3 linked regions of the Rhinolophus ferrumequinum genome follow. The protein of the gene in region 2 purifies or fractionates together with the protein of the main gene of each other region. This does not show direct contact. Links are inferred from orthologs where the notes say so. Each region holds a gene or a part of one and is shown on either strand. Other genes may lie near its edges.

What was found.
Region 1: the proteins of XRN2 (region 2) and CDKN2AIPNL purify together in Homo sapiens (co-immunoprecipitation; 6 studies listed by BioGRID and IntAct, with this or other methods). This does not show direct contact. The link is inferred for Rhinolophus ferrumequinum from reciprocal best matches to the Homo sapiens genes XRN2 and CDKN2AIPNL.
Region 3: the proteins of XRN2 (region 2) and CDKN2AIP purify together in Homo sapiens (affinity purification with mass spectrometry; 4 studies listed by BioGRID and IntAct, with this or other methods). This does not show direct contact. The link is inferred for Rhinolophus ferrumequinum from reciprocal best matches to the Homo sapiens genes XRN2 and CDKN2AIP.

Annotation. Positions count from the first base shown.
Region 1 is NC_046307.1:10,326,195-10,336,219, reverse strand, and holds the start of CDKN2AIPNL (CDKN2AIP N-terminal-like protein), read left to right. Parts: upstream 1-5,726; 5' UTR 5,727-5,792; coding exon 5,793-6,031; intron 6,032-7,309; coding exon 7,310-7,409; intron 7,410-10,025.
Region 2 is NC_046306.1:41,560,809-41,571,230, reverse strand, and holds the start of XRN2 (5'-3' exoribonuclease 2), read right to left. Parts: upstream 3,915-10,422; 5' UTR 3,811-3,914; coding exon 3,736-3,810; intron 1-3,735. UniProt on the Homo sapiens protein: Possesses 5'->3' exoribonuclease activity. May promote the termination of transcription by RNA polymerase II.
Region 3 is NC_046287.1:78,027,842-78,037,817, forward strand, and holds CDKN2AIP (CDKN2A-interacting protein), read right to left. Parts: upstream 4,486-9,976; 5' UTR 4,315-4,485; coding exon 4,043-4,314; intron 3,599-4,042; coding exon 3,468-3,598; intron 3,040-3,467; coding exon 1,694-3,039; 3' UTR 923-1,693; downstream 1-922. UniProt on the Homo sapiens protein: Regulates DNA damage response in a dose-dependent manner through a number of signaling pathways involved in cell proliferation, apoptosis and senescence.

The sequences.
Region 1 (10,025 bases), on a different chromosome or scaffold from region 2:
TGCATTTGATAAAATTAAATACTTACTCTTGATCAAAAACAAGACATTTAATAAAATGGGAATTAATGGATACTTCCTGAAAATGAAAAAAATGGTTTTTTCTCAGCAGAAAAGCAACAGCTTGCTTAACAGGAAAATACTAGAGACATTAATGTGTATGTTAGAGTTAGTAACCAATACAATGTAGACATGAGAAAACTATTAGTGGTAAAAGAACTGAAGAGAAACATTCTGTATTATTTTTTAGAGTATTCTCTAAAATTCTCTTAAGGTTTCCAGGCCCAAAAGAATTAATGAGGAATGTTCTAGAACATAATCTTAGGAGGTGGAGGAAAGAGGAAAAGCAGAAAGAGGAGGAAATGGAAGCAGACGAGGAAAAAAGAAGAGAAAAGAAAGACAAGAAGGTGTGGTGGTTTTGAACTATATTCATTTGACACTCCATTCAAAATGTGGAACCTAAATCTCTTGCCCCTGAGTGTGTACTGGACTTAGTGACTGACTTCTAATGCATAGAGTAAATTAGAAGTGATGGTATGTTACGTATGAGTCCCTATCATGAAAGACATAGTGGTTTCTGCCTTGCTCTTTGTTGGTTCACTTACTGTAAAGGAAGACCCCCTGCCAGGTGAGGACACTCAAACAGCCCTGTGGAGAGGTCCATATAGTAAGAAACTGAGACCGGTGGCAAACAGTCATATGAGGGAGCCATCTTGGAGGTGGCTCCGCTAGCCCTAAACAAGCCTTCACATACATGAAGCATCAGTCAACAATGTACCGAAACCCCATCAGAGACCCTGAGCCAGAACCAGCCAGCTAAGCCCCTCCTGCATTCTTAATTCACAGAAACTGTGAGATAATAAGAGTTTGTTGTTTTAAGTCACGAAGTTTTGGAGTAATTTGTTATGCAGCCATGTAACTAATACAGAAGGCAAAATAAAGTCATTTTCAGATTGACAAAAAGTGAGCATGCCACTGGCAGACCTGTACTAAAGAAAATGCTAACAAAATTTTCAGGTAGAAGGAAAATGAAAACAGATGCAAGGTAAAAGATAGAGAAGTAATGAAGAACAAATAAAGTGGTAAATATGTGTATAAGTCTAATGGTTCATCTAATTTAAAAATATACCACAACAAGACCTGAATAAGTAGAGAGATATACCATGATTATAGATTGGATAATTCAATATTGTTAAATGTTAATTCTTCCCCAAATTGATCTATAGATTCAATACAATCCCAATTAAAATCCCAGCACTCTGTTTTTCTAGAAATTGGCAAACTAATGCTAAATTTTGTATTGAAAAGCAATAGACTAAAATAACCAAAACAATTTTGTAAAACAACATAGTTGGAGGACTCAAAACAATCTGACCTCAAGACTTACTAGAAAGCTACATAGGCTGAGTTGGTAAACTATGGCCCATCAGCCAAATCTAGCCTGAAGCCTGTTTTTGCAAAGCCTACAAGCTAAAAATGGCTTCGTACATTTTTAAATGGTTGAAAAAAGAAATAAAGAAAAGTATGCAACAGAGATTATATGTAGCCCACCCTTTACAGAACAAGTTTGCTAACTCTTGAGCTACAGTAATCAAGAGAGTATGATACTGCTAAAAGGATAGACACATAAATCAATAGAACAGAATAGGTCCAGAAATAGACACACATATATGGTCAATTGATTTTTGACAAAGGTAGCAAGGTAACTGAATGGAAAAAGGATATAGTCTTTTCAACAAATTGCACTAGACCAATTAGACAATCGTCTGCCCACAAAATAAAGAATCTTAACTTATGTTGGGAGACAATTGCCCATGGGTCTCTCACGTATCTGCATACCTTACGATCTAAGTTAGACACTAACTCCCCTTTTGCTCCAAACTGTCTTTTCAAGGATGTGTATCCACAAAACAGCCTGGAGATAGTGGCAACCTCTAGAGCAAAAGGGCAAGTTTGTTTACTGTCCAGATAAAAATGGATTGCTCTGGGGCAAAGATTGGGCAGGTTTGCTTGCAGTCCTTTATAAAAGATTGAAGTTCCCTAAGCTTGGGGTTCTTCAGCTGTGACACAAACTCACTGTGTGTACCTGTTTGTACTTCATCCACCCTGTGGGACCTTAGGGACAAGGGGAACCAATGGAAACATGAAGCTCATGCCGCTTGCTGTGCTATAAGTAAATAAAGTTCTTTGTTTCTGTCTTAGGAAGCTTATGTTTCCTGCCAGCATCCATTGAAACTGGCAGGGTAATTTGTTAGCTTGCAAGTAGGGTAAAATTTTATATCCTTTATCGCTCTTGACAACCCATACCTTGCATCATATACAAAAATTTACTTGAAATGAAGCATAGACCTAAATGTAAAACCTAACACTATAAAATTTTCAGAAGAAAACAAGAAATCTTTATGTCATGGGGTTAGACAAAAGATTTCTTAGATAGGACCAAAAAGCATGACTCGTAAAAGAAAAAATAAATTGGATTTCATCAAAATAAAAACTTTTGTTCTTCTAAAGACAATTAGGATTGTTAGGGCAGTCAAACTATTCTCTATGTTACTAAAATGGTGGATACATGTTGTTATACATTTGTCAAAATCTATAGAATGAAAAAAAAAAAAAAAACAACCATAGAATGTACACCGCCAAGAGCGAACCCTAATGTAAAGTATAGATTTTGGATGATGATGTGTCAGTGTAACAACTATACTGCTCTGGTGTGAGAAGCTGATAGTGGGGGAGGCTGTGTGTGTGTGTGTGTGTGTGTGTGTGTGTGTTGGTGGTGGTGAGGCATACGGAAACTATCTGTATTTTCCACTCAATTTTGCTATATACCTACAACTGCTCTAAATAAATAAAGTCTATTTTTTTTTAAAGGGCAAGGGGTCTGAATAGACATTTCTGCAAAGAAGATATACAAATGGCCAAAAAGCATATGAAAGATGCTCAACATCATTAGGAAAATACAAAACAAAAACACAGTGAGAGCACACTTTGTACCCACTAAGATGGCTACACTCAAAAAAGGGGAAAATAATGTGTTGACAAGGGTGTGGAGAAATTGGATTGGAACCTTCAAGCATTGCTCGCGGGAATGTAGAATGGCGTCGACACTGTGGAAAACAATCTGTAAGTTCCTCAAAAAGTTGAACATATACCCAGCAATCCACTATATATCCAAGAAAGTTGAAAATATGTTTACAGAATAACTTGTACGTGAATGTTCACAGCAGCATTATTCATAATAGCCAAAATGTAGAAACAACCGAAATGTCCAGCAACTGACGTATCAATACACAAATAGTGGTATATCCATGCAATGGAATATTATTCAACCATGAAAAGCAATGAAGAACTGACACACTACAACATGGATAAACCTTAAAAACATTATGTAAGTGAAAGTCAGTCATAAAAGACCACATATTATATGATTCCACCTGTGTTAAATGTGCATAGTAGAAAATTCATAGAGACAAATATAATAGTTGTCGCCTGGGGCTGGGAGTAAAGGGGAGTGACTGCTAAAGGGTACGGACTTTCTTTTTAGGGTGATGAAAATGTTCTATATTTGTGTTGATAGTTACAGAAATCTGTGACTACACTAAAATCACTGAATTATATACCTTAAATGGGTGAATTTTATAGTATGTGAATTGAATCTCAATAAAGATGCTTTAAAAAATAAAGTAGGAAAACTGATCTTTGTCTATATAAGTAAGCACTCCATTCTAAGAATATCTGAATCACAAATACAAGTTAGAAACAATAAACTGAGCAGTAATTGAACTTGACACAGGGTCCTGTAAAATGTTAATACTGACATTTTTAGACTACTTCACATTTTGAAAGTACAATGCTAACAATGTCATATAATTTTAAAAAATACCTGTTTGTACATTTTGGTATTCTTATAATCTGCATGCATGTCTCAGTCTGTTTGTATGTAGGTACATATATGCTTATCCTGTCATTGTCAAAGATGATTCTAAACAAGCTACTTGTGCTGGATGACCCCTTAGCTTTTTCACACCCCTGTGGCCAAGTTAGCTGTATAACTGCAGCTGCTGATTACAAAGCCCAGGTTCCTATTTCCATGGTACAATCAGGAGACCAATAATTTGGTGCAGAGAACCCTTATCAACATTAAGTGTTTTTCAAAGTTTGGTGAGCCACAGGTGGAATCAATTACCTAAGGCCTTGACTCTGAGCAACCAGTGATGGGCCTAGGGAATCTGCTATTTTAACAAGCCCCTCAGGAGATGTGATTTGTACTTAATTTGGGGAGCCCCTGCTCTGGGCACATATTCCTGACTTTTGTAGAGAAGATGAGTCTGTATGTGGTTTCACAGCCCTGTTCACTTTCTCCCTGCTCACCAGGATGAGAATTGCATGACTCCCTTTTGTTAACCATAATGGGATGTCCCTGAGCCCAGGGCTGGGTCTGCAGGTATTTCCATTCTCTCTGGGGTTTCTGCCTGCTGGGGGCCCTGACATCCCATGAGAAGCTGCAGAAGCAGCAGAGGGCACATAGTTGGCTCTGCCTCTGGGCCCCACTCACAACATAGGGCCTACACTGGAGCCCCAGATCCTGGACGCTAGGCCGGGCTCTGTACCCCACCCCATATCTAATAGGTAATGATTGGGAAGCCTGTTAGGTCAATAAGCTCTCAAGATTAATAGAGGCTCAGGTGATTTTCCTGTTACTGGACTTGAATGGTTCCAGGGAAGGGAAATTCACCACTTACAATGGCACTTTTGTCTCTCAGGGAGTTTGTGACCTGACCCTAGGAGAGACAGTGGAGTCCTGCCAGCTCACCTGCTCATCTCCTCTGGACACATCCATTCTGGCTCCTTCCAACATCTTTTGGAAACATGTGCCACTGCTCTGGTTAAAATCCTTCAGTGGCTCCCCATTCTTCTTAGAATCTAGACCACAGTCCCTATCATGGCCTACTGTCCTTGACCTTTGCAGCATTATCTTCTCCACTGTACCCTATTCTAGGACCCTGGTTGCAGTTCTCTTACCAGGCCAGGCTCTCTTTCCATGGCCTCCTCCTCTTTATGTAGTTAACTCCTGTTCATCCCTCAGCTCTCCAGCATCATTTCCATGACTCTGGAGTCTGGGCCACGTCCATTGTTTATTCATGCTTCTAGCACTCTGGTCCTTTCCTTATTAAAATGTGTCAACGGTGAAAATTTTCACTTGAGCACTAGGTATTTCACTAATGTTTGCCTCCCTCAGTAGATGGTAAAGTTCATTAGAGCAGGGCTCTGAGTTTGCTCTCATTGCAACCCCAGCACCTGGCAAAGGGCCTGGCAGGTATTTAATTCGATGGATGACTCACTCCACGAAGGTGGGTCACAACCTGGGTGGGGTGTCGAGACCTCTGGGAATCAAAGACAGACCCAGAGCAGCTACACATGTAAGTCCTGAAAACAGAGGAAATTCAACTGCCGGCTGGGTACCCAGGGAACCCCCAGGGCAAGGACACAGCACAGCTCTGGTTGGCGTCCAGCTGCCGAATGGGAGAGCGGCACCCCGATTCTGCGCTGGGGGGCCTCAGGTTTCCTAGCGGTTCCCCGCGGGGGTGGACCGAGAACGGCCCCTGTGCCCTGCAGCCACTGGCCGCGGAGGTCCGAGGGGTCGGGCGGGTCAGGCCGCCGCGCCCGGCGAGGGCGCTCCAGGCCGATTCTCTGGAGCAGTCGCGGCCGCCGGGGCCCCTCTAGCCGCTGGGAGGTGACGCAGTGCCTGTCGGGAAGGCAGCGGGAGCGGCCGGCCCTCGGCGGCGGAGGGCGCCATGGTGGGTGGCGAGGCGGCTGCCGCGGTGGAGGAGCTGGTTTCGGGCGTGCGGCAGGCGACCGACTTCGCCGAGCAGTTCCGTTCTTACTCGGAGAGCGAGAAGCAATGGAAGGCCCGCATGGAATTCATCCTGCGCCACCTGCCCGACTACCGAGACCCGCCCGACGGAGGCGGCCGCCTGGACCAGCTGCTGTCCCTCTCCATGGTCTGGGCCAACCACCTCTTCTTGGGTTGCAGGTGCGGACCACCGCCGCTGGCTGACCCTGTCCCCTGCCTTCCGATCCGTCGCCCTCGCTCAGGCGTGACCCTGCCCCCAACCTCCAGCCGCAGTGGCCAGGCCTCCGGCCGATTCCCACCCTAGCCAACAAACCCTCAGTTTCCTCACTTGGAAAATGAGTTGTGATGACTGCAATATTAAAGGGTGAAAAGCACTCAGTACAGGCTGCCATCTGGCCAGAGCTCCACCTGTGCTGGGCGCTAAAGTTACCATTGTTATTTATATTGCCAGTAATAGCTCTAACCACCTTTGCAGAGTGCATTTTGAGTCCATTAGCTCCTTTCACTGGCAAATGCAGAGACAGAAACCGACCGAAACTGGGATGCCCCAATTTACATATGAAGAAACTGAGACAAGGGGAGGTGACCTTCCTAGGACCTTGAGGCTTCTGGCAGGATTGGTTAATTTTACCATTTATATCTGGATGTAATCTGTGGCCCTAGCCTTTTTCTCCCCATTCCCCTGGCTTCTGGACCCTGAGCAAGAGCCAGCCTTTGCCTCACTGCCTTTCCTCTTACGAAAATAATAACAAGATGCCTCGCACCCTCCTTTATCCCACCATGAAGAAGGTGGAAAATCTCGAGGTTCCCACATCTTTTTATTTTAGCGTTTCCTGAAATTGTGTTAGGATAAAATGACTCGGGCTAGTCCTGGCTTCGGTGCTCCTTAGGTCTGTGTGACTCTGGTCACATGGCCCCTCTTGCCCTAAGCCACTTGGTTTAGCTTGCAGATGTTGAGGGTTATTAGAACAAGATTTGTGCCAATGAAGCAGTGCCAGTCATATCCATCCCTTTTCTATGCTTTCTCGGTGGCCCTGGGAAATCCTGATTAACAGGATCCAAGATTTGGCAAATGTCAGAAAATTGGATCAATGAACAAATAATGTTATTTTCATTAGACCAACACTCCATGTGTTCAAAAAGTAATTTTTTTGGCCCTCATACCATATCCACGAATATGTACTGCCAGATGTATGGTGCCTCTATTTTTGTAAATCTTTTTTGTTTGTTTTGTAAATTTGAAACACCTGCTCTGTTGGCATTCCTGGAGCCACTTCTGTATCCCCCAACAGGAAGAACTGTTAACTACCTGCTGCTGAACATGCATTGGTTTGTCCTGTGGTATCAAATCAGTCCTCTAAGAATTGAGTTTATAGTCCCATTGCCTGCAATTTGTTAGCCCCATACTGACAGGTAATTTTTCTAAGGTTTTTAACCTTACTACTTTTTATTATGCAGTTACAACAAAGACCTTTTAGATAAGGTGATGGAAATGGCTGATGGGATTGAAGTGGAAGACCTGCCACAGTTTACTACCAGAAGTGAATTAATGAAAAAGGTAAACAGGATTTCCAAGTGCTTTTGAAATGGTACAAAGTTAACAGCCCGTGTTTATGATGATTTATTAGAGTAAATATTGTTTCCTGAATGCTTGTTTACCCAAAGATCTAAACCCTTTCATTTTTATTTTTCTGTAATTGGTCTAAACCTTTTTATACCTAGATAACAACTCAGTGTGATAAATTATGCATTGTTGGTGGAGTAACACATAAACTCAACCTCTTCATTTCCTCTAGGAACATTGTTTTGAGCTTCTTGCTTGATTTGTAAAGAAAATGTTGGCTAGTTTCCCACTTATTAAAAAGTCTTGCTGGTAACATTAACTCATTCTTCACCCAGCAGGTTAGGGCCTGACCAGTCTCGTTCGATCTCTCCAACTTACTTGCTGATTGGAATGTAGATGGAGTAATGTCCACACATCATAGCTGTTCCCTATTTTGCAAGGCTTGATATGAGGCCGTGCCTGTAAGAGCCTGGTATCTGGATCCCGGGGCGAGAGCCATGGAGAGTGTGGCAGAAAGAAGCCCCAATGATGGAGCTGGGCAACCTAGCTACTCTTCAGAATTCCCCAAGAGATGCTTTTTCTCCTTTGCTGGGGTCTCCCAAAATTTCTTTCTTTAGCGCTTTACCCAGGCCTCTTTTAAAGCAGATTATAAGCTTCTTGAGGTGGTGCCAAAAGTTTTAGTCTTTCTAACTCCAAAATCTAGTATAGGCATACCCCAGAGAAGGTGCTCAGAAAATGCTCACAAAACTGACCATCGCAATAGGATAAATGGCGGCTGGCCTCTCTATTAGTGCTGCTCTCCGAATCATAGGTAAGCCCCTGCCTCACCCTATTTGGAAGGCAGGGCATATAAAGAGGTTCCCTTTTGTGTGGTGACCAGAAACTAATCAAATCCTCAGCTGCCCAGAAAGTCCTGCAGCCCCAAACAGTGCACAGCCCACTTGATTTCAGATAGTTTTCCTATAAAAGTACTCTTTATCTTAAACATCTAAACCTGGAATCAAAAGTTTCAGGTTGATATTCAAGGGGCTGTTTTATTTTTAAAATCCACTGTTAACAGGAGGCTACTGTTTTTTGACAGGAACCATGTAAACGGGGGATTTGTGACTGTTTGGATCTTCTCATGTAATACTTTAAAAAAATCTCTGGGCGATCAGTCCTTCAGGGCCCCGGAGTGGTGCGGTTCCTGGGCCCCCGCACGGGCTGGCTAGACGGTTGCTGGCTGCCTGAGTGTACCCCGCCGGGCAGGGGCAGGCAGGGAATAGGGTGAATCTTTACTTCCTAACTGTTCTTGGCAGATTCCTTCCTTGCTTTTTTGCCCCTAAGAGGTATTCTGTCCTCCCTAAGACCTTGCACATCAATTTGCTATTACCGTATACTTCTGTCTTGTACGTAGCGATACTCTTTCCAGTCAGGCCAAGCTATTGAGAGATCAGGTCACTTCATGATATTTGGGCTGCAGCCCCCAGGGGAGGCTAAGGCGCTCTTGTAATTGATATGCGTCCCTAACATTATACATAGACCTGTGTGAGGCAGCGTATGTGTGTGTGTGTTGGGAAGGGTCTCTGTTCTACATTGTAAAATGGTCTTGAACCTCAAAAGAGTAAGGACGCCCTGCCGTGGGATTGTGACAGTTCATTTTCACCGTCATTGCAGTGTTAGCCTCCAGAGCAGAGTCCTCAGGCATGAACCTGGCATCCTTGAACTGTCATCAGACTGATTGTTAGCACTAACTACTTGGAAGAAGCCTGCAGGGAGCCTAGACTTCTGCAGCACTTTGGGATTACATGTGTTTCAACTGCCTTCAAATACAACTTCTGTTTTCTTAGTAACCAAATTTAATTTTAGACTTTCGATGCCACTGAAAATGAAACTCACTTGATCCTGAAAAGTGAGATACTTAGAGGGTGCAGAGTTTTGCCAGTTGTTAAGACTCTTCTAGATAAGCCCCTCCTGAGAGCGAGTCATCTGATCTGTGTGCCGTGACAGACCTGTAAGGTGCTGAAGGCCGTCCCTCTCCATCGAAGGCGACCTTGAGAGCCCAGTGGAGAGCGCTGTGGGGACTTCGCAGCAGTTCTTTTGTCTCTGGCCTGAGGTTTTTGCATATAACAGAGGCTAGCAAACCTAAGCAACATGGCCAGCCCAGAGGCAAAAATAAAAATAAAAATCCTTGACGTTGAGCCACGCACCTGAAAATGTCTATTGTAGTTCTGCCTAGAATTGGTCCTTAGCTCTAAAATTAGAGTTTAGTTGGGTTTTAAAGCTAGCTAGCAAGTAGAAACAAAATCACCTGTCGTTGGTGTCTCAGGACTGGACAGTAAAGATGACTTAGGGACATAAGCTCTTTAAGGTAAGATTTTAAAAATGCTTTATGGCTATTCTGCAGTTTTGAGGCAAGTATGTCTCCCCTGTCCAACTTTTTTTTTTCCCCGAGAAAAGTGAGCTTTAGTCTCTGGAGGTATTTGTCAAATAGTTGCAGTGTATGATTTTTCTTTTGAAAGAAGGGGATTCAAACACAAATATATTGAACGAACAATTTCAGTTATCTAACAGCCATCCCTTGGGCACATCCCTGCAGTTGACCAGCTTTACCCACTAATGAACAATAAT
Region 2 (10,422 bases):
ATACATCTTTTGAAGCAAAAATTACTATATATTACTATAAGACCGGGTCTTATATAATACCGGGTCTTATATTAATTTTTGCTCCAAAAGACGCATTGCAGCTGATTGATTGTCTGGCTAGGTCTTATTTTCGGGGAAACACAGTAAGTAAAACCACAACACTACACTGGAATGGCTAAACTAAAAAGACTAACCATACTAAGTGTTGACAAGGAAGTGGAGCAACTAGAACTCTCTAATACACTGCTGGGGGCAATGTAAAATGACACAACCACTTCGGAAAACAATCTGGCAAGTTTTTCTTTTTAAATAATCACACACCATACAATTCAACCATTTCATGCTTACGTATTTTCTCCAAAGAAATGAAAGCATATGTACACACAAAGATGTACAATAATGTTCATAGTTTTTAAAAAAAAAAATAGCCAAAAACTGGGAAACAATTCAAATTTTCGTCGATCTGGTGAATGAATAAACGAAATGTGATATACGCATAAGTGCAACATAGAATACTATTCACAAATAGAAAGAAATGAACTATTAATACATGTAACAATGTGGATAAATTTCAAAATAATTGAATGAAAAGTAAGCAGTTAAAAATAGTATAATTCCGTTTACATAAAATTGTAGAAAATGAAAACGTATTTATAGAATCAGAAATAAATCAGTGGTTGACTAAAGATAGGTAGCAGGAAGAGGTGTTAGGAAGAAATAAGAAAGGGGCAAGATGAATGTTTTACCGGTGATATTCATTATCTTGACTGTAGTGATGGTTTCATGAATATACACATACATCGAATGTATTATATTGGACACTTTAAATATGTGCAGTTTATTGTAGGTCAATTATACCCCAATAAAGCTGGGAAAGGGAAAGAAGTGGGTTTGGGGAGAGAGAACAGAGAGAAAAAAGAAAAATAAATCAATTTAGGAGGACCAGTATCCAGAGTTCAGAGAGGGCAGAAAAAAAGGAGGTAAAACATACATAAAATAATCAAAGAACATTCCCTACAACTGAAGAAGACAAGTCTCCAAACTCAGAGAGTCAGCAAAGTATTGATGTAAGTGAATTCAAATTTTAGGGTCCAGCCTGGTGGCTCAGGCGGTTGGAGCTCCATGCTCCTAACACTGAAGGCTGACAAGTTCGATTCCCACATGGGCCAGTGGGCTCTCAACCACAAGGTTGCCAGTTCGATTCCTTGACTCCCACAAGGGATGGTGGGCTGCACCCCCTGCAACTAACAACGGCAACTGGACCTGGAGCTGAGCTGTGCCCTCCACAACCAAGATTGAAAGGACAACTTGACTTGGAAAAAGTCCTGCAAGTACACACTGTTCCCCAATAAAGTCCTGTCCCCCTTCCCTAATAAAATCTTTTAAAAATAAATAAATAAATTTAAATTTTAAAAATCTACACTTAAGTACAAAATCATGAAAGCTTACACTACCAAGGATAAAGATCTCTTTAAAATTAGAAAAACGGATCAACTACAAAAGAATGAAATCAGAACATAGAAATTAAGAGCATGTTCTTCCTGGATTTGACACTAGCTCTAACATGTATTAGCCGAATGACCTTGAGTACATTACTTAACCCCTCTGTGTTTCAGTTTTCTCAATAATAACACAAGAATAATAATAATGTCATGTGGTTGTTATAAAGATTTAATAATTGTAAAGTGCCTAGAACAGTGCCTGGTGTATGGTAAACACCACCTAGGTGTTGGTTAAATAAATCAATCACATTAACATTCAACTTCTCATCAATACTGGATGATAATAGCAAAAAAAACAATGCTTCCAAACTTTTGAGGGAAACTAATTTTCGAATTCAAACGCTATGCTTAGCTAGCTAATGACTGTTCATGTGTACATGAACGTAGAATGGACTCAAAAAACTCACATCCCACACAGCATCTCTTGAGAATTCAACTGAGAAGAAAAAGCAAGGAAGGATTTAAGCCCAGAAAGATCGTGATTAGAAAACAGTACCTCCAACTGCGGAAAGGAATTTTCAAAAATCTCAGGCAGCTTTCCAGAAAGCCTAAACAACCAGGTGTGACAGCAACAGAAATAAAGACCTCAAGGAGTCTCTAAGAAGAAAAGAGGATTTGAGAGAATATCTGATAGAACATGGTTTGGAAGGGGAGTCATGTAAAGAGACCAGTAATACCAAGAAAAAGGCAAAAGTAGCAGAAGCAGCAGAATCACAGTACATAAACTGCATCTGCACAATGACAATAATCAACAATACCATTTGATTTTTCACCTTTTAAAACAAACTTGTATAGCCAAAGCCCTGACAATTTAGTATTGGATGCCAACAGGACAAAAGTACAGTTGACAAGCTTGGGGTGAGGAATAAGGGCAGCAGAGCTAGAAAAGATAATACCTAACCACAGAAAGTGAAAAATCAAGGATATTTTATATATGAGAGGAAATTTTTTAAACAAAGCATATTACTTAAAGTTACAAAGTTGACCAACAGAAGAAATAAAGATGTGACTTACTATTATTAGGAGGACGGGCAAGGGGAGGAGGGGCTGCCTAAATGACCAAAACCTCTTTTAACACAGCTAGAATTCAACAGATAGTTTCAAAACCAAGGACTCAGGTATAAGCATGACATTTAGAGCTAGAACCAAAACAGTTGAAAGTGGTTATCACTGGAGAGTAAAAATGTGATGAGATTCAAGTAAAGTTAATAAAGTTTGATAAAAGTTTTAAAAACAAAGGAAACGAGCATTGAGCTAAACAGTTTATCTTTGAGAAAAACGCAGGAAATCTCATGTCATCAAAACAATGCTTTTGGTTCCTCCCTCCTTGGATAGGGACTAAAACAAAAATCAGTCTCTCACCAACCAACTTAAGCAAAAGAAATCCGTTCACAGCGACAGACGGGCACTTCCTTCAAAAAACGAAGGGGTGGGGGCCAAGATGCGGCCCTTACCCTTCTCGATCCATAAATTCTAATTAAGAGTACAAAATCGAACTTGGACGGAATCATGGAAAATACAAAAATACAAAACTCAAGAATGGCCATAAGTCAACACACACATTAACAAACTGACCACAGAAAGTGTCGTTCAAGTATATGCAGGAATTCTGAAAATTTCAACGAGCATGCCATCCAGCAGTCGGGGAACCTTAAGGAAGGGGCACTGATCAGACTTCTATCTTGCCCTAGACTTTTTAAAGTGCTGCTTTCACCGTACGATCTAACTACAGCAACAAACGGTCTCTCACACTACGACAAAACCTTTCAGGTACGGCCAGTAAACAACAAAAATCTCGCCGCCGAGTTACTTTACAAGGTTGTTAAAGGCTGGGATCAGCATCCGCGCAACCCGAACTAGTTAACTGAACGGAACAGCGGAGTGCGGCCCAACAACCTCCCAACCTCTTTCGAAACCCAAACTGCGCGGTGCCCGGAGGAAACAAAGCCGTGGGCGGGGCCTTCCGGTCCGGGAAAAAGCGGGCAGGGGAGGAGTGCCTCCCGTGCAGTTCAGTCCCGCTCGGCCCTAGCCCCGCCCAGGCCGCTGTCCGGGAACCCCGAAGGAGAATGCCGGCGCCTCACCGCGCGTCGGACCGCGGCTGTCCGCGAGGCCGACAGAGCGGCGCAGACGGGCACCGCGCCCTAGGGCAGGCAGCTGGCCCGGAGGGCCGCGGCCTAGGCAAGCAGGGGCTCTCGTCGTTTCAGAGCTTGGCAGTCCAGGCTCTGCCCCTCACCTTCTCTTCCACGCAGTTGACAATGATGGACGGGTATTTGCGGCTGAGCCAGCGAAAGAACGCCGGGACTCCCATAGCGGCGGTCCAGCTGGAAGCAGCAGCCGGGTCCGCGGACGAACGTAACCTGAGAAACAGGCAGGAGCGGCGGTAGCGGGCACCGGCACTTCCTCCCACGTGCGCGCCAGCGACAGGAAGTGATGTCGCGGTACCACCGCTGGGGAAGCCGGGAAAGAGTCTCAAAACCGGCTACGTCCGCCCGCGACCGAGCGGGGCGGGGCCAGGCGCGGCCGAACTTGTTGTCGGAGGTGGGGTTCGGCGGTGTAGCGTGTGGTTAGGGCTGCGGCCTGCGTTGCGTGGTACGTTCGCTCTTGGTGGCGTCGTTCCCCGAGCCCGAGGTCGAGCTCACGCTCGCCACGTCTCCCCCGGGGTCTCGCTTCCCCAGTCCTCGGGCTCCCCTGGGACGGAATCTCCGCGCTCCGCAGCCTTCTGGGGGACCTCTTCCTAGCGGGTTTGATTACCTCTTTCTCACCCATCTCAATTCAGAGTAGAATCAAGGCATTTAAACTAACTCGTTATTTCTGTTTCCTGGTTTCGTGCTACAGTACGTTCAAAAGGAGTGTTTTGTACTAATGATGGCTGGTTTACATAAGTAACTCACCTGAGTTATTAGATGGAATCTAGCCGGTGTTTAGCATCTAATTCAACCTTCTAGCTACACTTATGAGTATAAAATAATTGCTGATTTCAGTCTCCATTTATTTGAGCGCTTACAATGTGCTAAAGCATTAGCTAAAGGATTATCTTATTTAATCGTCACTTGCGCCTTCTGAGGGGGCTATTACCATCTTCACATAACAGATGAGAAAGCCAAGTTGTAGAGGGGTTAAGACATTTGCTTGTTCACACTGCGTGTGGTTCAGTCCAAGGAAAGATCATTTAATCCTCTGTCCTGGCCCTAAAAGCATACTTACATCTTTTGTTTTCTGATGGCTTCAAATATATTTTTTTCAGCATGTAAAAAGTCTGGAAGAAGAAGTGTTTATGTCCATTTGCTCAAGGCTGGAAGCCTTTCTCTCTGGAATCCTCTCTTGGCTTGATAAATCACACTCAGTCCTAAAAACTCACTTCAACAGGTCTCTATGAAAGTATTTCTCTGGGCTACCTGACATGCAATATTCATTGCCCTCTCCTCTGTGGTCTGATGCCACTTTGTTTAAACTGCCGTGACAATTAGAGAAATGGTTAGCCCATATTTTACTTAAGGATAGTGAAAACTATTCCAGAATATTATGTCTTTGGTGAACTCCCTCGTTTCTCCTGGAAATAGTCCCTCTTCATCAAGTATTTGGTTCCCCTGGTAGGTGCTATGTTTTTATTGGAGCAAACACACCATAGTCGATTGATACAGGGATGGACAACTGGACAAGTTGGGCCATGACAGCCCTTGCCCAGCATTTTTGAACTTCAAACCATAAGGAAAGTAAGGTAGTCCTTCCCAGATGATTGAAAACTGAAAGGTAAGAATGGACTTGCTAGTCTGCAATGAGAGAAGTAGATTTAAGTCCCTGGTTCAGTGAGTAAGTACAGCTAAATCCCTCTTCCTGATGTAGGATGTTGCTTAGTGAATGCCGGGGTTCGTAGTCTCGTGGAGCCGAAGAATGGACACACGGATCAAGGAGAGGCAAAGAGTGGCACAGTAAGATAGTTTATTATAGTAAGCAGAGTTACAGCTCCCGAGCGGGAGGAGGACCTGAAGATGGGATGCCCACTAGCTAAGGCAAAAAGCTTGTGTTTATATACCTTTATTTCTGCCTGGGTGGGGGATGTTGGGATGTGGGTGTCTATGGATACAGTATTTCCCAGACTAGCTCTACTGCTCAGCTTGGGGGGAGACCATGGAAACAAACCCATTTGTCCCAGAGTATGATTGATGACATTTTTGTCCTGGTGCGGTTGTCTTGGTATAGTTGCCCTGTGTTCTGTTTTTATTCTGTTTTTGCTCAGTCTACCAAGGAGTCTCTGACTGCCTGATGTCATACTAACTAACCTGTCTCAATTCCCCCTCTGAAGATAAAATCCTAACTGCCGTTAGGGCATGGGGGTGATGACTGCTCTGGCTACTTCAGGCTGAGGAGGGGCGTAGAGAGACCGGCAGGTAGGGCTGGTCCAGAGGTCTCTCTGAAGGACCCCGGTAGATGGGCGATTTCAAATGGGGGCAGCGTTGTTTCTCAGCCATCATAGCCACCGGAGGGCTGGTCTGCAAGCTAGGATACACTATAGGGAACAGCATGAAGTAATTTCTATAATAGTGAACAAAAGAAAAATTAGAAAAACTTCTTTAAATCCCATCAAGCTAGGAAGCCAGGAAATAAGAAAGGATAGATCAACGCCAAAAAATCCTGTCCGCTATTTAATGTTGGAAACTATGTTATGAATTTGTTGAACTTTATCCTCAATTAGCTGAGAATTATCAGAAAGATTGAAACAGCATAATCTTTTAAAATGTTCGCATCCTTGATTATGTTTAAGGAGTAGGTAGTCTGTGGCAGCTCTGTTTTCAAGAACTGTTTCTCTGACCTATCCTAACTCTTGTTTCATTTTAAGTTTGGTTGTCGGGGACCAGAAGAAGAGCTGCTGCTACTGCCTGAGGGCAAGCTGGCCAGCCTAGCACCACAAGGTCTAGTTCCTTAAATAGCCCACAGGTTGTTATGAGGGTCCCTTGGGCTGTGTTAAGACTCCTAAAGCCATTCCTTTTGTCTCTGTTACATATAAGTGAAAGGATTTTTCTGTTGGCAGACTTAAAGCTGGGGCGCTTAAAAGAGCCTGTTTTAAAAGGCTGAAAGCGTGTTCTGCTTCAGCTCCAAAGTAGCAGCTGGGTATTTGCAGTCTGAGTGTCTTTAATCAATTGATAGAGAGGACGGGCCATTTCTCCGTATCCTGGGATCCATAGGCAGCAGTAGCCGGTGATGCCTAGGAAGGGCCTTAGTTGTTTAAGGGTTAGGTAGGGGATACATGGAGATGGAACGGAGCCTGTCTTCTCTCGAGGCCCTAGTCCCTTTAGAGGTAATTAGCCTAAGATATTGACAGGCAGTCTGACGTATCTGGGCATTGACCTTGGAAATCTTGTAGCCCTTAGAGGCTAAAAAATTCAGAAGAGCAATGGTGCTCCGGCTGATGAGGTCTTCAGATGGAGCACATAATAAGAGATCATCGACGTATTGTAAGAGCGTGCAACTGTCATAAGAAAAGTCTGACAGGTCCTTAGAGAGGGCCTGTCCAAAGAGGTGGGGACTGTGTCTAAACCTTTGGGGAAGGACCGTCCAGGTGAGCTGTGAAGTCTGGCTTTCAGGGTCCTCAAAGGCAAAGAGATATAGTGAGTCAGAGGGTACAGGTAAGCATTAGAAGCCATCTTTTAAGTCTAAAACTGGGAACCATCTGGCACATATTTGGGCTAAGAGCGTGTAAGGATTTGCAACTGTAGAGAGTAGAGGAATAACTAACTCGATGACTCAGAGATCTTGAACTAATCTCCATTCTCCATTGGATTTTGGAGTTCCTAAGATGGGGGTGTTGCGAGGACTACTGCATTCTCTAAGAAGGCCCTGTCGTTTGAGACTGGTAATGATTGGTGTTAGTCCTTTCTGTGCCTCGGGTTTTAGAGGGTATTGCCTCTGGCGAGGAAATAGAGTGGGGTCTTTATTTTTTTTTGTAAACATTTTATTGGGGATGGGGAACAGGACTTTATTGGGGAACAGTGTGTACTTCCAGGACTTTTTTCCAAGTCAAGTTGTTGTCCTTTCAGTCTTAGTTATGGAGGGCGCAGCTCAGCTCCAGGTCCAGTTGCCGTTGCTAGTTGCAGAGGGCGCTGCCCACCATCCCTTGCGGGAGTCAAGGAATCGAACTGGCAACCTTGTGGTTGAGAGCCCGTGCTCCAACCAGCTGAGCCATCCAGGAGGCAGCTCAGCTCAAGGTGCTGTGTTCAATCTTAATTGCAGGGGGCGGAGCCCACCATCCCTTGCGGGACTCGAGGAGTTGAACCGGCAACCTTGTGGTTGAGAGCCCACTGGCCCATGTGGGAATCAAACCGGCAGCCTTCAGAGTTAGGAGCACGGAGCTCTAACTGCCTGAACCACTGGGCCAGCCCTCCGTCTTTTTTCTTATTCTCCTCTCCTTGTCCTGGGCTTCCTCCTGGTCCCAACTGTAAAAGACAATGTTGGCTGCCCTGAGTAACTGATCCAAGGTGCCTTTGGGACCAATGGCCAATTTCTGTAATTTCCTGCAGATACCTGGGGCAGTCTGAGTTATAAACCTATCCTTTAAAAGGGTTTCTGCTTCAAGGGAGTCTGGCCCGATAGGAGTGAACTTGATTAGGGCCTCCCTGAGTCTTTCTAACATGGCTGAGGGATTTTCTTCTGAATTCTGGCTAACGGTAGATAGTTTGGAATAATTGATGGGCTTAGTCCTAGTTCTCCTCAGACCCTCTAAAATGCATGCCAGAATGTGTTTTCTCTGCTAGTTTCCCATAGCTTTATCAGGGTCCCACTGTGGATCTGTAGCGGGTACTGCTTGCTCTCCTGTACGGAAGCGCTCCAGAGTGGGGTCTCGTTCTGTTTGTTCATCATGATATTCCAGGAACTGATCATCCCCAAATTTTTCGGCTGCTTATAAAGCTGCCTGCTTTTCAGAGTTAGTGAGAGTCTGATTTAAAAGTAACATCCTTCCAAGAAAGGTCAAAGACCTGGGTTATGTTCTGGAAGGCTTTTATTTATTTGTCAGGGTCATCTGAAAACTTCCCTAGGTCCCCCTTTATTTGTCTGAGATCCCGTAGGGAGAAAGGGACTTGAACCCTGACAGGCCCAAATTCTCCTGGCATCACCTGTAAGGGAAGGAGATTTGTTCTTAGTTGGGAGCGCCTTTGTACAGGAGGTCCCGGATATGTAGCGCAACAAGACGGAGCTGGGGTAGGAGCCGGCTCCAGAGGAACAGTAGGGTATAGAGCTTTGGGATGATCCCTTGACTGGGTGTTTATTAAAGGGACCTCCTCAGGAGAGGAGGATCCCGCTGGGGGTTTCTTTGAAGGAGTCCCTTTAAGAGGGGTCTCCTTAGGGAGAGTCTCCTTAAAAAGAGTCTCCCTAGGAGTAGGGATGCAAGAGCTCACAGCCAAAAGAGCCAAGTCAACTCTACATTTCTTACAGAGATCTGGGTTGTCCCTTAGGGTGAAAAAGCCTATACATAAGGAACTTCTGACCATTTGCCTTCCCGCTTACAAAATAGATCTAATTGCATTATAGTATTATAGTTAGTACTTCCCTCAGAAGGCCAACTTTCCCCATCTTCCAGCTTGTATTGAGGCCAAACCTCGGAGCAAAAGAAAACCAGACGCCGCTTCTTCAAAGTCTGAGGATCAGATTTGTCCCAATGTTTCAAGATGCAATTTAGAGGGGTGAAGACGCGTGAGGGCTGATTGCCCATCTGGAAGAGAGGAAGAACAGAAAGGCATCCCTTTGCAATTCATCTCCCACAACTTGTTCTAGGGCGTCCCCCAGATGCATGGGCCACGGACGTCGCACGACCGATTCCAGGGCTAGTAGGGAGACACGGCACACCAGGATTAGTCGTGCTTTCCTGGGCTGCCCGGCCCGTGCCTCCAGGTGGGCACCTACCCAAATCGGTGTGTGTGTCCCCGCCTAAACATCTGGTGCTGGCCCACAGGTCAGTAAAGGCTGTGGCCGATAATGAGGTGCTTTAAGGTAGAGGGGTGTATGCCGTAACTCTGGGCATCACAAAAATTGATGGCACGATTAATATAATAGTGGCCTTCTAAATAAAGATGTTTAAGGAGGGAATACATGCTTAAAGCTTTTAAGGAAGGCATTTGGTCAAAACAAAAAGGTGTAGGGGGTTGCCATTGTGATTGGGAACTGTTTTGTTTCCACCTATGATGAATGTAAAGTGAGACCATTAAAACAAACCCATTTGTCCCAGAGTATGATTGATGACATTTTTGTCCTGGTACAGTTGTCCTGTGTTCTGTTTTTGCTCTGTCTACCAAGGAGTCTCTAACTGCCTGATGTCATACTAACTAACCTGTCTCATTCCTACAGTTGTTTGGTAAACCTGTCCTTTAATTCCACTAGTCAATAAATTCTCTTTTTGCCTTAAGCTAGTCTGGACTAAATTCCTACCCCTTGCAAAGGAAAGAGTCCAAACAAACCAGTAACAAAATTTGGGGACTACACAGCTAGTTAACCTGGGTGCTAAAATTGCTTTGTGTAAAAGAGGTACAAAAATTGGAATTTTGGGCACTCAGAAAAGGGGAGGGTGAAAAGTAGAAAGGAGAGGGGATCTGAAAGGTGACAAGAGGATCTAGGCTAAGTGGTGTGACACCTTCCCCAGCATAATGTTTTTAGTAAAGTCTAGCAGACTCAGGCTTGCTGTGGGTTTTGTTGTTGTTATAGAAATCAAAGACAGGATAAGTCTCATTGAGGTCACTGTGGTCCAGAACCACGGCTGGGCAACATAGCCGAGCTCAGGAAGCAGAAGAGGCGAGGAAAGTTTATAAATATTGGAAATCTACAGGAACATGGAACCAGGCTTTGAAATTCTGCAGGCTGGGAACCAGGAGGTATTGAAATATTTTTGCCTGGACCTCAAGGCAGAGGAGGAAAGACCCCAGCTGATATCTGG
Region 3 (9,976 bases), on a different chromosome or scaffold from region 2:
CTAAGCAGCTTCCTCCAATTCTACCGTATCAAAATTCCAATAATTAAAATATTTTCAATAACCTTTACATTAACTCAAAACAAGGCAATTTAGGAAATTACCAAACTACCTAATTAGATACATTATAGAAATGTATTCATCCTTTGTAACATTTGGCTCCCTTTTCTGGCAATCATTATTCCACAAAATTTACATTCCAAGACTGAGAAAAGTGAGTATTAGATAATTAAGAGTGCTTTCACAACATTCTTGTTATTGCTTCTCACAACCCATTTACAGAAGATGGAGACTGAACTTTGGTACTCAATTTAACATTCTCAAAAGTCACTCATTTCTAAAGGTTATCTGATGAAATAAAAACTGGTTATTTCAAGTAAATAGAAGTATCCTTGTCAATTTCTAGAATATAAAATAGAAATAACTTCTACATACTTAAATTGTACCACTTATGTTCAATTTTCCTATTCCAATACAACTGACATGTGAAAGGTCATTTCTTAATCTATGTAATCACCATTACTGCTCAATATGAAGCATCTAAAAAGCCAGGAGAAACGCCACAAAGATAACGAAACATCTTGGGCCAGAGTCTGAAGAAAAATGGAAGAGAATATACCACAGTAGAGTGATGCAATCAGAATCACCAAAGATACAAAAACAGGATTCCAGTTCATTACTCATAAATATAATTCAATTGAGCAGGCTCATTAAAGAGCTGAGCATGGCTCACCATTCTTCTGAGATTTGTAACCAAAAATCCCCATCTAGGTCTTGATTTGCAAACTATACCTTCTCTATCCATTAAAAGTTGTATGTAAAGTATGAAAAATTACTTCGTTGTAATTTACAATGACTAGTATTAAGAAGCCTATTTGCAGGAATTGGTTCTGCATTAGGGGGGAAAAAAAACACAACTTCTTGAAAAGGTAAAATAGCTTAAAGCATTTAATATCTAAACAAATCAATCTGTTAATAGCAGTAGTCACAAAATATGCTTAATATAGAAACCCACATTTATGTCTTTTAAGAAAAAGTGTAAATTGTATTTTACCTCAAAACATAAATTATTAACCCACTTAAAGAATCTGCAGTGGTCAAAATCATGGTGAATTTTAAACAACTTCAGAATAAAATAACCTTAAGTACTTTATACTGCTTTGCATCTAAAAAATGCTTACAACTTCTCATAAAAATAGTCTGAGGCAACTATTTTTTCTTTTATTCTTTAACAGACATGTTCAACATTATGGGCAACATTCTTAAAACCTTAAGTATCACAGACTTTCAGATATTCAAATACTATGGTCCCCATTTCTTTTGATGTGGTTTATTCCACTAGGAAAAAAAAAAGCATGGTAGACAACTTAATACATTTTTACCAAATCGATAGTACAAAAGTTTTAAGACTCTACAGAACTACACATCGTACCTAATGTATCATTAAAAATAGAAGACAGTATTTTCTTCAGCAAATAAAACAGCATACTGCTATGCTGGTAATGCCTATCTTTTAATGTGTACTGTCATTCATAAATTATTTACAACTTCTACTCTGTGAAGAGGACTAGAATGTAAATTTTCTGCAAAACTGGAAAAAAGCAATACAAAATTTGTGAAAGCCTGTTTATATTATACAAAAGCCAGTTTTTCTCTTCAAATATCAGATATTGTATGAGTGATATTTTGCACGTTATTATAGTAATTCTTGAGGATGTTTTAATGCTGGAGGTAAGTTTACAGGCCTTGATTCTTCATCAAGGAGTACTAGGTCTTCTATTTCACTCCCTCTATATTTCCTTTTACATATTTTTACTACCACCTTTTTCTTGAGAAATAGCTTCAGTGCTTCTCTTGATGCAACTGCTTTTGCATTTTCTTTGCTTTTCCCACAGCCAGTGCCCAAATACACAGACTTGCATCTCAATTCACAAACAATACTTTCTTGAGAGCTCTTATTTTGAGGCAGATCTGCCAGTTCTTTTAGTGGGACAAAAAACACATCCAGTGTTGCTTTCAGAGCCTCGATAGCTGCATTCAGGAGCTCTCCGTGATTCACATTGGGACTAAAGCCACCAACAGCTACCAACTTCCATGCTACTGTTTTATACAGTCTATTAAAAAAAGGTTGCTTCTGTTTCACATCTTCATTGGTTAACTTGCAACAAGTGAATTTGACAGAACTCTCACTTGACTGGGAAGTACTTTTAGAAGGCAACTGGGATGTGCTAGATTGAGAACTACCCTTAGACGCCAGCTGGGACACACTTGCTAAGGAAGTGCTTTTGGAAACCAGAGATCCACTGGTCTGGGAGCTGCTCTTGGAAGCTAACAGTGATGCAGCTACCTGCGAAGTGCTTTTGGATGTCAGCATTGGTGTATTTGCTGATGTGCTGCTCTTGGGAGTTAGTAAGGATGTGCCTGATGAGGAACTGTTTTTAGAAACCAATGATGAAAGACTTGCCTCTGAACTGGTTTTGGAAGTTAACCCACTTGAAGTTGTCTCTGAACTAGGTTTAGAAGACAACAGTGGCAACTCTACTTCTGAGCTTCCTGAGGAGCCCAACAAGGGCACCTCAATCTCTGAGATGCTTGGAGAAGCTGAGACTGAAGAGCCTTCCAAAGCACTTTTAGGTGATCCACTTTGTTGTTTGGAATCAGTGGACTGGCTCACATGACTATTCATACTGGATTTCAACAATGAAGAAACAAATAATGCTGAACCGTGTTTATCTGGGGCTTCGGATTCAGAAGCTTTTCCAGATCCTGCTGTTGTTACCTGAGAGGAAACGCTGCTGCTGTTTTGGTTGGAAACGGATCGATCTCCATCACTTGTAGAACTATTCTGACTCGAGGTGCCAGAGCTCCGAGTAGAGTTCCCACTACTCTCTAATTTGGTAGACGACCCTGTACATGCTGAGCTGTTTTCCTGCTGAGCTGATGCACGTTCTGTTTTGGCAGAATTTTTTGCATGCTCTTGCTCAACTGCAGAATTGTTTTTTCCTTCTATAACTCGTTTTTTCGTTGGCTCTTCTACCCCTTCTAAAAAGAAGAAAAACAGATACATAACTAAGTCTACCTCATACATATTAGCTGAAAATTTACAAGACAGACATTCATTAAAATAAAGGCACAAGGCAAAAATATTTCAGGACTAGTAGTTTCTTTAAAAAGTGTGGAATAACTTCATTAATCTCTTAAAACAGCATTGAACAACATCGTTAATTTCTAATATTAAAAAATCAACAGCATACACAACATTTGATACTTCAAAAGCAAAAGCAGTTAAAGGAAACTGTTAAATTCAGAGGCTAAAACACAGACACATAATTTAGGTTCAACATTCCAACTTGATTAATAACATTACATAAATTCCAGCTCGTTAAAAAATTAGTAGTAACAATAATTCCTAATTATATCAAACTTATATTCTAAACTCCTATGTATGTTCACATCTATGATCTGCTAACCATTGCTACTTGATATCCCTCTTTTCTTCACCTTGGCAACCAGTTCGTCTCTTGTTGTATGGATTGGAGCATCTGTCACTTTGATGCCTTCGGCCATACTAAGTATTTTATCCATAACTTTTTGAGGATACCTGAAAAAGAAGGAAAAGCCATTTTTAAAGTGTTTTTCCCTAAGCTACTACTTTTGGTATGAGAAAACAGGCCAGAAACTGCATTTCCTGGTTGTAACCAAGAAAGTGTACCAACCGCCAGGAACTTTGTTTCCTGGAACCCCAGAAACAAATGCACCAGCATCTGGGAGCGGGGTCCCGCCTTACCCACCATAAATGTAGTGTCCACCCACAAGAGCGTTGTCAGACGTCAACTCCACCAGCAGCCCCCCCACCCAAGGGGGGCACCAACAGACTGTAAATCATGTCGGCTTCCGGTAGAGACGCCCTCCTCACCCTTAGAGGGCAGCCGGTCCCACGATTCCCGCGCTTCACAACTTCCCCTCCCTGGGAGTGTTCCGAGCCCGTAGTCCCGGGGCTGAAGACAAAACCCGGAGAGGTGCTTAGGGACGCTTCCTCACTCACCGGCACCCGAGGAAGATGTGGTTGGCCCAGGCCATGGAAAAGGAGATGAGCTGCTGCAGCTGCCTATTGCGGGTCCCGCTCTCGGCGTCAGCAGCTTCCTCCGTATTAGCGGAGTCAGCGCCGCCAGTGGGGGCCAGGTCCCCGGCGTTACGGAGCAGAAACTCTCGGCGGTGGCGCCAGTGTTTGTCAGTCTCGCCGTCGCTGCGCAGCGCTTCCACCCAGGAGGCCACCCGCGGGTTCTGGCTCAGGTACTCCGACACCTCCTGCGCCATGTTGTGCCTGCAGGTCGCGGAGGCTGCGAGCAGACACTGCACCGGGGAAGAGGCGGGTGCGCGGGGCGAGCGGCTCTGTCACTGCGGCCTGCACCGGCGGCCCTCCAGAAGACGCCCCTCGGGAGGCCCAAGACCTAAACAACAGCGCCCCGAGCAGCTGAACCGCCCACTTCCGCCCGCCGCCGGCTCCTTCCCTTTTATAACCTCGCCGCCGCCCAGCGCCCCCGCGTTCTTCCGGCGCGGCTCTCCCAGGTCGCTTTGCGGCGCCCGAGCAGCCGCGACGCTGCGGCCCCGACAGGCGGCGGCGGGGGGGCGTCCTCCGGGGGAGGGGACGGGAAGGAAAGGAGGAGGTGCTTGCGCCTCCCGCCCCATCAGGGCGGGCCGCGAGTGGGTTCCCGGGGCGCTCCGGGCCTCGGCGGGAATGCGAACGTTCCAGTTCGAGTCTGTGACGCCGGGCGCGCTGCTGCCGTCGCCCTCCGCCTCCCGGGCCCGCTGCAGCGCCGTGAGTCGTGGCGCAGGAGGCCCGACGAAACGGCGGGGAGCCGTGGGACTCCCCGCAGCTGGGTCAGGACGGGCAAAACCCTCGTCGGCAGCCGCGGCGCGTCCTCTCCGAGCTGAGGCGAGGACAGTGCGTTCTCGCCCCAACGCTTGTTTTGAATTGAGCCAAAATAAACAAAAGCTCGCCTCCATCTTTTGCGTCGGAAAACAGCTTCAAGCGCTGTGTTTGAATGTAGACCAGTGAAGCTTTCTGAGGCCGTTCACGTCTCTCGGCATATAAGAGGGGGTGCGTGATAATAGTAGTAATAATGAATAGTAATAATAATACAGATAATGAAGTTTAACGATTAATCCAATTCAATGTTGCCCTGCGGTGCCCAGTCTTTTAAAACTCGTTACCCCGCAGAGTCGGGTTGGGTTTCGTTTCCGCAGTGCAACCCCGGCAATCCCTGCTGCTTCTCTGGTGGTGTTTGGTCAGTAACAACACCGCGCCCAGGACGTTCTGTATCTGTCGCATTTCCTTGAATTAACAATAATGCCCAACTGGACAAATAGCCAGGAGAGGCGGCGTGGAAAAGGACCTGTTTATCTTCATCGCCCCAAACCTTTACCTCTGAACTATTTTTTCCTTGCATTTTTTTTTCCGCTTTAGAATGTGCACACATAATACTGCCGGCTTGGTTATTGTTTTGTTTCCAATTTCAGGTGTATGTATGATTGAAGTTTAATACAATTTAGTAAGCTAAAATAAGTGATAAATAATGATAAATTACGAAATGGAATTTTTTCTCTAACGATTTTGATTTTAAAATGCTTGAATCAGAATAATCAAGAAAAAAGGTCACTTTAATAAGATTAAGAAACGAAGCCATGTAATTTATATACGTGCTGTAACAATAAAAATGTATTATGTGAAAATAATACTGCCCACTTTCCTGCAATGCCAATGAAACTGCATAAAAACATAGGCATAAAGAAATTTTGAAGTTTGGGGTTTTGTTTCTAGTTTCTCTCTTCTCCTTTTCAGGGAAAATTGCTGAAAAATTGTAGAGGAGAGTGAAAGGGTACAGAAATCCGGCAATTTAAAAGACCGAACAAATTTTATGGTCTTTCACGAATTCTTTGGCAAGGGGGAGATGGCAAGTAAAAGAATCTGATTACCTACCTAGATGATATTTGTGCATTTTAAACCAAGAATTTTCTGACTTTTTTTCTTGTTGCATTGTAGCCTTCCACTCCTGGGCTTCATTGTCCTGAAAGGAGAGTAAATAGAGCCTGAATTTCAAAATTATGATTATGATTTTAAGTGTGTTTTTCCAGGACCCATCAGCTCCAAGTCAAGTAGTTGTTCCAATCTAGTTGTGGAGGGTGCAGCTCACAGTGGCCCACCCGGGGATCAAACCTGCAACCTTGTTGTTAAGATCACTGTGCTCTAACCAACTAAGCTAACCAGCCGCCCCTCAAAATCATTTTTTAAAGTATGATAATAGCAATATGGTCTGAAAACTGGAGTACTTATTTGCAAGACCTAGGTGCCTGACAGAAAAGATATGTGTATTTTTATCTTTGACTCGTATAAAGTTAACTTTGTATGTGAAGATTTAGGGTATAGACCTCAGACCACATAGAGAAGAAGAGTATTTATTAAAAAAAAAAAAGACAAATACCTTAATTTCTTTCTGGGTTGGAGGGATTCAGACAGAAAAGGTGAGAGGAGAAATTGTGAAAAATCAATGGGAGTGGGGAGTGGTGAGTGGGGTGGAGTTGAGGAGGGAAGTGTTGGCTCTGCCTGGACGATTTTGTTTTAAATTAAGCCTTAACATTAATCACTGTCAATATGTTTGCTGCTGTGAGAAGTAAATAAGATTATGAAGTTATATCTTTCATGGGGTTTGTTTCTAAAATCATGTAAATGAAAGATACAATTCCACTTTATAGACTCACCTCATTTTATTGCACTTTGCTTTATTGTACTTTGCAGATACTGCATTTTAATCATTGAGGCAAGACCCTCTGCTAGCAAAAAGATTACGACTCACTGAAGGCTCAACTGATGGTTAGCATTTTTTTAGCAATAAAGTATTTTTTAATTAAGGTATGTACATTTTTATTAGACATGATGCTATTGTACACTTAATAGACTACAGTATAGTGCATAACTTTTATATGCACTGGGAAACCAAAAGGTTCATGTGACTTGCTTTATTGCAACATTTGTTTTATTGCGGTGGTCTGGAACCAAACCAGTATCTCAGAGTTATGCCTGTACCTTCTTTTCCTGTGGCGTAGTGATTACCTCAATTTTAGAAAACCTTCTTGGACATCTACTGATGTAAAGAAGTAGAGAACTATGGACTTGATAGGTTCTCAAATGCTAGTTTGATTAATTTCAGTTGCAAGTGACGATTTAAAATGGCTTTTGCTTAAAGAGGGAATTTATTGGCTGTGTTATTGACAGTCCAGGGAGTAGACTGTGGGATCCAAGTGCCCAGACAATATACTGTAATCAGGAAGTCTGTTTCTCTTCATCTCTAGACTTTGCTTTCTCTGTGTTAGCTTCAGTCTCCAGCAAGCTCTTCCTACATAGTGGCAAGGTGATTCCTAGTAGCCCATGGCAAATGTCCTCCATAGCTCAGCAACCACAGTAGAAACAAAATTTATTTTTCTTGAGTTTCTGCCAATGTCCTAAGGTTCTGTTAAGAATCCGTTGGTTCTCATATGACTTCACTCATTTTTGGGATATAAAACTGAAAGCAACAAATGGACGAAACAAGCAAACAAACAAGAAACTCAGATAACAGTATAGTGGTTATGGTTACCAGAAGGAAAGCGAGAGGGAGGGAGGTAGAAAAGGATAAGGGAGTCAAATATATGGTGACAGAAAGAGATTTGACTGGGTGGTGAACACACAATGCAACATACAGATGATATAGAATTGTACACTTGAAACCTTTATAATTTTATTAACCAGTGTTACCTCAATAAATTTAATAAAATTTAAAAAAGTCCACTGATTCTGTTGGATCATATATGTATCCCTTAAATAAGCTTTCTAGCCAGGGGTATGAAGTATTCTGATTGTACAGGTCTGAGTCATGTGTTCACCCTAAGAATAACAAAAAATCTGAATAGGGTCAATATCATGCAAGGAAAATAACAAACTCAATAAAGCGAAGAAGTTACACTCAAGGAAATGGAGATAACAGCCATGTGAACAGAAAAGTCACCAAATACTGGAAAAGATTTTAAGGTATCATAGTAAGCAGTTTCAAATGACACAAGACAATTCTCCTGTGGGAGAGGCTGTTAATCAGGATTTCTTTTTTTCCACATTTTTAGCCAAAGTGATAAATCTTTTTATAGCACTTATATTTCTTTATATAGTCACATAAAAAGCCTTCCTACAAACAATTTCATCTTTACTCTTCATGTTCTTCCTAATGCCAACAAGATAAGACACTATTATATGTAACTTCCCCATTCCTTCGTGAAACTCTTCACCTGTGCATCCCAGAATGTGGGATATTTAAATCTAGGAGAGAGATACAGATAGAGATTAGAGAAGAGTTACTGTTTGGAGAAGTAAGTACAGTTTAAGTTCCCATAAACAACTTGATCCTGGCTCTTCAGAATCATGGAAAGTTAGAGCTGGAAGGGGACTTTAAGACTATTTTGTAGATGAGGAAGCTGAGATCAGAGCAGTTAAGTGATTGCCTAAGGTCAATTGTTTAATGGAAGAGCAAGAATATGAAACCAAGGAATGTAGTCTACTGACTTATGGTCTAGAATTTTGTCTCCTCTCACATTTTGCTCCTTGCAGTTTAATCAGCAATATTGATTCACTCACAAGGTGTAGTGGCTGCAAAAGAAATAGGAACTGAGCTAAAACTTAAATCCAGGCACTAAGATTACGACATCAATAATCCATTTAATTATTGGGCAATTTGGAAGCTAGGAGCAGGAAGGATAGGAAATTTGTCTTTCGTTGTACTTAGGGCTCCTGTACATAAGTATATGATTATGTAACAGCAGAACCAGCTCAAAATGGTCCTATCCTGTTTAACGAGATGCTGAGTTGCTTTTCAGAGACAGCAGACCAAAATTGTATTGTCATGCAGCTGAAGCATGTGCAGAGCTGAAAGCTTTGACCTCCAGCTGTACCTGGAACCAAAGTCTCAACCCCTCCTCACACATGGAACCAAAGAACCAGGGTATAACTAGAACTTGAACTCTGGAACCCTTTCAGAAGCAAGGGTGCCCATTGTCTGGGAAGATCTGGGGTTGATGCTCCTTTACCATAAAAATGGCCAAGTTCCAAGGTCCTCCAATTACCGTGTTTCCCCGAAAATAAGACCTAGCCGGACGATCAGCTCTAATGCGTCTTTTGGAGCAAACATTAATATAAGAGCCACTATTATATTATACCTGGTATTACATTATACCTGGTATTATACCTGGTATTATATTTTTTATATTATTACATTATATATTATATAAGACCCTGTCTTATTTTATAGTAAAAGAGGACTGGGTCTTATGTTAATTTTTGCTCCAAAAGACGCATTAGAGCTGATTGTCGGGCTAAGTCTTATTTTCGGGGAAACATGGTAAAACTTGCCTGACCAGCAGTTCTGCTGGTTCTCACTGGTTCACACCAGTGATACGAATGTTATAAAATAAAATGGAAAAATAAAGCAGAGGGTCAGAAAAGTGTTCAGCAAGTGGTCTAAACAAAAAGAATATGTGCTGAAAAACCTTTGATGGGCTACCAAAAGCAATATTTTAAAGCCCCTATCTTCTGTACAACTGTTGGTTGAATAGGATGTTTTCAAAAACCTCAATTAATTTTAAAGAAGGAAACAAAGTAAGTGTTTTTCTTCTCACCAGGGAAGGCAATTTTGATGTTAAACACCTCATTGGTGGTGGTAATACTATGCAGTTAATTTTAAAGATGGGAACAAAAGAAGTGTTTTCATTCTCACTAGGGAAGGCAGTCTTAAACACCTCATTGAGGGTAGTACTGCCAGGCTCATCTGGGAGTTGATAATAGCTCCTCCTGACAAGACAATACCGAAAACACAGGGTGAAGCCTACCAGCCCTCAGATGAGTTTTCACCCCCACCTACTAGCGAAGGCACATTTTCTCTCTTTCCTGAAAAGAGTG